Coturnix japonica: one gene and its partner. The protein of the gene in region 2 purifies or fractionates together with the protein of the main gene of each other region. This does not show direct contact. Links are inferred from orthologs where the notes say so. Each region holds a gene or a part of one and is shown on either strand. Other genes may lie near its edges.

Region 1 (3,653 bases), on a different chromosome or scaffold from region 2:
TACTATTTGACTGTCACTGTTTCCATTCAGGAAGCAGACTTTATCATGAATTCAGTAAGTAAAGTTGATGAACTGCTTCAAACATTCCAGAAAGGAGAAATTTTTTTTAATCCCATCCACAGCTCCACCTTCATGAACAAGCACAGATGTCACATGAAGCTCTCATCAGCTCCTTACCTTGGACGGACTCATGGGGCCTGCGAAAGCTCGTATGGACAACACTGGATCCTTGGGGCTGCCAATATATTTGGACAGAGCTGCCTGAGGACTCTCATCTGTCTGATCTGGTGACCATGGTGCACCAATGACAGGAGCTGAGGAATTATCTTCTGCTCTCAGCAGTGGTACGTAGTATCGACCTTAAATAAAGCAAAACCAAGCTTTCTTAAGCTGTTGTTACATTAGCTTGCTCTTTCCTCCTAGAACATCGATACACCTGTACATTTAACCATCTGACTTGATTTCACCAGTAAAATATATGATTCAAATTCACTTGTACAGTGTTTATTGCCTGCTTGCAGGCTGTATTTCAGTCTATGCTCCCTTCTGTCTCAAATGCAAAAACACACGCCCTGATACACACAGCATTTTCTAATGGATTGTCACCCCGTTTCAAAGTCTGTTTGACAGATGCCCAAACCTGCACGTGACAAAACAGGCAAGATTTTCTTGTCAGGGAAAGCACAGGGGTGCCAAATGTGACCAAGGAACCTCCTGCCCTGTGGAGGTCTTTTGTTTGCTTTAAGATGATTTTCTGCCATAGACATGCTGAATAAAATAATGGCTGTGCCATTATGGAGAGCTATGAGGAAAATCCTGCAATCCATACAGTAAGAGAACCAACCGCTCCATTTAAAAGACACGGCAAGTTTTCTGTTCCTTGTCAGTTTTAGAGCTTCTCTGTGATTTTTACAATACTGTACAGCAGCACTTATGGACAGGAATGCTACAGAAAACCAACAGAAAACAGTGAGAGTCTGACAGTGCCACATTCCTGCTGTTGTTTGAACACTGACCTTTCAAGTACTCTCTCAGTTTTTCTTTCAATTCTGCAGACTTATTCTTGCTTCTCTCACAAACCACCTGTTAATAAAACATTAGTTCTTTGTTAGTAAAACAAAAGACACCGATTTCCAATAGAGAGACTGTAAGCAAAAAGCAGTGAATCCTAACATCTCAAACTTGGCTCTGGCTATAATCAACACAGAATATTTGTAATGACCCATAGATTTTTCACTGGTAGCTCAGCCTGTGAACTAAGCAGTCTGTGAACGTTCAAAGTTGAAAAGCCCTGCTTTGGCATGATGCCTTCGTTGTGGACATAGACAGACTTACTTCTGCTGGAGTCTGATCATATTTGTTCCTGGGGTTTTTCACAATAGCCGGGTGTGACGTAAGCACGTTAACAACATCCAAATTCCCAAACTTGCAGGCAAAATGCAACGGAGTATCAAATCCCTGCAACATTAAAGAGAGGAAATTCACATGTATATGGAAACATCATTAAGTCAATCCTGTATGTTTTATTTTGGATGCAGGATAAGTAAACGAACAGGGCTCCTAATAGATCCTTTCCCATTGCATGGTGGAAAAACGACTGTTCAAACCCACAAAGCCCATGACCATCTACCTTCTGCTCAAATGGTCCCTTCCCTCTTTCCTTCTCCCTTCTGCTTCCTTAATGCCTTCCAGTAGTTTCCTAACAATAAGAAACAGTCACACATCCCAGATCTCACCATTTTATCAGGTGTATTAAGGTAAAGGTCAACAATGTATCGGATGCGATTCTTTAGCATTGTGTTATCATCGTCTGGATACATAAGCCGCATGAATTCAGGATTTTCCAGGGTGTCCAATAACAGCTGGCAGATAGCAGGCTGGTTCTCCTTGGCAGCGACGTGCATGACGTTGTACCTGCATCCCTCCTGAAAAACAAATCAGAGCTAACTGAAATCCAACAGCCTGCCTACACCTGTACACTTAAATGACCCAATGGGAAAAATGGGTTCCCACACTGTCTTACATGGGGATTTTTATCTCCTACTACTATCTCAGGAAGATATGTTCACAAAACAGTTGACATCCAGAAATGCAGTGTGACAATACTGTAAAGACATGTATCCACACTGTCAGGTTACACTTAAAATTAACTACGTCATTCTTAGCTATAGTCAGGTTTTAGATTTAGGGAAAAATGTAGCAAAGAAGGTTAAATAATAAAAGGAGATGCAATGTTCAGCATACAAAAGAGCAGGAAAACAGCTTCCAACTGGTGTAAATCAACACTGAGAAACCACACCAGTTGGAAGAAGTGGAAAGCAGGGAACCACATCCATTCCAGTTATGCTTATCAGCCCTCAAACTCTTATCACCGAAGCAGAACTTGGAGATAAACATATGTATCTTTTTACCTGTACAACTGTTGGATTGTCCCCAGATCCAATAAGATAGCGAGGATTACTCCAAATAAGTTCTGAAAATGTTGATATATCTCCTTTCTCCACAGCTTTCCGAAGCTTAGCAGTAAGATCCTGGGTACGTGGACTTTTGTAACTGTTGGCCCTTTCCTTGTTAGCAGTTTCCATCTCCAGTGAGCATAAGCCATCTATAAAAACACAAGTGTCATACTTCTGGCTGCTCTCTTTTCAGTGATCACTATTTTTATACCACCAGCAAAAGCTTTTAATCCAAACTATTAACTTGACATCTTTAGTGTAAATAAGTTTATTGGCATTTTAAGATCCTGGGAGTAATAAGAGGTAGGGAAGGAAATACAACGTAATTGACCTATAAAGCTTTTTGGTCCAAACCGAAGTCTAAAACAGCCTCACAACTACTAACCTGCTTCCATCCAAGCCTAAAATGAAAGTTCAACAACAAGTAGGAAGTTTCTAAATACCTGAAATGGCTTTTGCAGTTCTGTACAATTACCTTAAATTTTTTAGTGTAATTAATTCATCGTAACAGACCTGTTTCAAGTTATTAAGAGGCTTCAAAATACTGCTCTGATTTTTTTTCCAGTTATTGGCACATTGCTAATGAAGGGACTCGTTCCTGTCTCTCATAAAATTACCCCTCTCCATTGCGCCTGCTGTACACAGGTGAACACCCTCCATACCTCTGTTAAGTGGTCCTGTTTTCATCGGAGACAAACACAGAGAGGACTTGCTTGGAGATGGAAAGTAATCACAGATTCCTTTAGCAAATTTCTCAGCATCTTCTCTGTTTGAAAACGCTTTAAATCGTGAACCCTTAATCATCTTAACAGCTTGGAGAGCTTCCTTCTTATCTTCATAAACATGGATTCTCTCTGAAACAGTACAGCCAAAATTAAGCTATTTAAGTAATCTCAAATCTGTTCCTAGAAATCATCAGGCTATCCTTACAGTTTGGTCAGTGTCTCTCTACAAACATGGCAAAAGAGTCAAAGTCAATTTGAATTTTACCTCTAGAAAACTGAATAGAAGAATATTGCACATTGTGGGTAACTTCAGGGGATGTGCAGTGCTCAGATACTCACACTGTAAGCACCTGTTCTACACATGAGCTTCTCAAAGAAGGGAAAAGATGGAGTCATAACAATTTTGATCGCTTCCGATCATTTGCATTCATGCTTTGCAAATGATTTTTGCCCACGCTTGGTTTCCACCTGC
Region 2 (3,172 bases):
CACTCACTTTTTTTGGCACGCACCCAACGTTGACCTATGGGGGAAGAAGAGCGAGCTGTGAGCGTAACGCGGATAAGGGGACAAGGGGACAAGGGGATGCTCCGGCAGCGCTGCACGCCGCGTCCCATTGCCCGGAGCCGGCGGCGCGGGCAGCCCGGTGCCCGGCACAGCCCATGCGGGGGGTGCCGCGTCCCTCGCGCCGTGTCCCAGCTCCGCTTCCTCGGTGCTGAGCGCGGCAGGTCGGCGGTGCTCCCGGTCCGCGGGGCAGGATCCGCCGAGCGCTCCGTCTGCGGCCGCGTTCTGGCACCGTGGGTCGGGCGGCCGCTGGGCGAAGGGAAGCGCACGGCCGCCGCTCGTCCGCAGCGAGGCGCTGGGCTGCAGAGCCGTTTCGCCGCCCGCCGCCGCAGCTCTCCCCGCCGCCCGCGTCCCGCCGCCCCGGCCCGACTCACGCAGGTGCCGCCGAGGCGCCGCGGCTCCACCAGTGCGACGCGGGCCCCCATCTCTGCCGCCCGGCGCGCCCCCGCCAGCCCGCCGGACCCGCCGCCCAGCACCAGCAGCTCGTACGCGGCCGCCGCCATGGCTCAGCCCCAGCCCGCCCGGCACCGCCCCGGCCCGCCCCCGAGAGCGCAGCACCACGGCTCGGGCTGAGAAGGGCGTTTATTGTTCAGGTACAGCGAGTGGGACAAGCGCGGCCGTGACAAGTACGCGAAGGCGGGAACAACACAGGACGGGAATCGAGCTAAAAAGGGAACGCTTTATTCCGTGTTATGACAACGTACTCCCAAAAGCAGGAATCGCTTCCCTTCTCCTAGAAGCGCGGAAGGGCGGGGGCTGGAAGGGGCCTTAAGGCCATCCGACCCCTGCCGGGGGCAGGGCCCTCCCCTCGGCCGGGCCGCCCTGGGCCCCAGGCAGCCCATCCCGCTCCACTTGAGGCGCTCATCTTTCAGTAAAATCAAGAGTGGTGGGGTAAAGAAGTTAGTGTGCATTTCCCTTAGAAATGAACTCCAAAACGCTAAGTCATGCCAGTTAACCACTAGAACTAAAAATTGACAAATAAGCGTAAAAGGAGATGGAAGCGTTAGAGTTACCTTGTCCTCTGAACAGTCCAGAAAAAAAAACAACAACAAAAAATAATGACTACAATACAGCAGGCAAACTGACTGTCGGACTGATTGGTATAGGATACATAGTGTCGTAAGGAATTCAGTCTCAGGTTGTGCTGAACGCTCTTCGTCCTCAATATGGCACGTTTTGGTCCATGATGGGGATTATAAGTAGAGACGAACCCCGATTTCTTACAGAAACATGTAAATATTGTTGCTCTTTAAAACGCCAGGTGTACTTCCTTCTAAAAGGTTACGAGAGGTTTATAGGAAGTAGTCTGGGGTACGACGGGTAACATGAGGCTCTCCACGACGAGGTGCTGGGTCAAACTGAAGGCTGCGGGAAAGAAAAAAGGGTCATTAGTCCTCCATGCGAGGCAGTTTCCAATACAGCAGTTAGGCAGGAGGAGAACAGCTCAAAGCACATTACTCACAAGGAATATTTTAAAGTGTCATCTAGTTCCATGATAGCAGCCTGGTTCCCACAGCGGTAACAGTAATTGGGCGCACTGAAAATGGTCACCACATTTCGGTCGTGGCACCAGTTATAGCCCTGCCGGGAAGAAGAGAAAAGAGGTCTCTGTTAAACCTCAGCCCTCAGTCCGTCTGAATTTCCTCTTCCAGCCTCAAACAACAACTCAAGCCAGCTGTGAAACAGAAGGTTTCTTCCAGGTAGTTCCACTTTCAGAAGGCACTCTACAGCGTCAGCAAGTGGCGTTTACAAGCAGTGCTTACCCAGCAACAATAATTGAAGCCATTCTACACAGAGACCAGCTATTTGCACTGGTCTGTTTGCAAACTGTGGATCACAGGAGAAGGAAAACTAGAGATCTCAGGTAGACCCTCAGCCTTCATTCACCACAAATGAGAATCTGCCAGTTCACCTGGAAGGGCATTCTGACACACGCTGCTACTAACGAGACCTGCCGGAACTCCATGTAAAAATAAGTCTGCTCCACTGACCCACTAGGCAGTTTTCCATCAAGACAAACAAGAATAGACCATCAGTAGCCAAACTTAGGGCTTAATCCCTGTCACATCTGACCACTGCGTACTATAGGGCAGCCTGTTTAATGGAGCACATAAGAAGATTATTACTTCAACAAACAGGGCATGGCAGGGTCTCTTTGGCAATGTACTTCTCTACAGAGCAGGTCAAAGCACATCCTTTTACATCGCTTGTTGTTTTCACACGATTAAAATCCCTTTCAGGAACTTACCTGCTTAGCCTTTACGTGTCAGCTCATGCCAACACATTAGAAGGTCTAACAAAAGAGACAAGAATTGACATCTATCTTTTTTTTCCTCTCTGCCTGTTCAGCACGAAATGCTTGCCCTACCTCCATGACCAGTTGGTGAGCGCGGGAGACCAGTGTAAGACCATTGGCATGATTAAATGTCTCAGAAATGTCTTGCCCAAACGTGTAGCCGGCACCACGTGGAGATATGCCCCAGCCACCACGATCATCTGGATCCGACCACAACAGATCACACATTGGACCCTTGAAAGAAAGTGAGTATTCTTCATTAGCTTTCATTGTGCTTGCAAAGTAGTTATGAAAATATATCTTTACAAGTTTACAGTAAAAAGCCTGCATTTTCTTTTCTGCATAAGCCACATATGTTTATCTAACAACAGTTAGTTACTCCATGCATCAGTCGACATCCTTTCACAAGAAACGAATCCGCATACAGCTGAGGAGTCCCTGCAACCAGAGAACTCTGGCCACCTCCATCACACACTGCTTGCCATCCCACCTCACCTAACCAGAGCTGCAAAGACATGCACAGCAGATCCACGTTCTTCCTGACTCTCACAGCAGAATAAAGACCACATGGGAAAGTATGTATGCAAGTCCGAGGATACACAAAGGGATCATTAGTGCCAACCAACTTGTAATAAATTAATGCAAGGGAAATTATCCACCTGAAGTGACCTAAGTGAACTAATCAAAAGATTGATTGTTAATCTTCAGCGGTTCTTCTGGCAGGGTATTAAGCATGTAGTTTCCTCTCCTGAATTGTTGTTCATTGGATTTTACATATTCAGAAATACCCTGGTACATGTC

The links. Proteins that work in one complex are often made in the same cells at the same time.
Region 1: the proteins of PPP2CB (region 2) and ANKLE2 purify together in Homo sapiens (affinity purification with mass spectrometry; 4 studies listed by BioGRID and IntAct, counting the BioPlex papers as one, with this or other methods). This does not show direct contact. The link is inferred for Coturnix japonica from reciprocal best matches to the Homo sapiens genes PPP2CB and ANKLE2.

The regions. Positions count from the first base shown.
Region 1 is NC_029530.1:1,118,187-1,121,839, forward strand, and holds part of ANKLE2 (ankyrin repeat and LEM domain-containing protein 2), read right to left. Parts: intron 3,311-3,653; coding exon 3,119-3,310; intron 2,606-3,118; coding exon 2,412-2,605; intron 1,926-2,411; coding exon 1,737-1,925; intron 1,459-1,736; coding exon 1,336-1,458; intron 1,084-1,335; coding exon 1,017-1,083; intron 360-1,016; coding exon 178-359; intron 1-177. UniProt on the Homo sapiens protein: Involved in mitotic nuclear envelope reassembly by promoting dephosphorylation of BAF/BANF1 during mitotic exit.
Region 2 is NC_029519.1:30,558,606-30,561,777, forward strand, and holds the end of PPP2CB (serine/threonine-protein phosphatase 2A catalytic subunit beta isoform), read right to left. Parts: exon of another isoform or gene 2,606-3,172; coding exon 2,444-2,605; exon of another isoform or gene 2,425-2,443; intron 1,657-2,424; coding exon 1,538-1,656; intron 1,441-1,537; coding exon 1,368-1,440; 3' UTR 643-1,367; downstream 1-642. Other genes in the region: GSR (glutathione reductase, mitochondrial), read right to left, coding at 8-34, 450-578.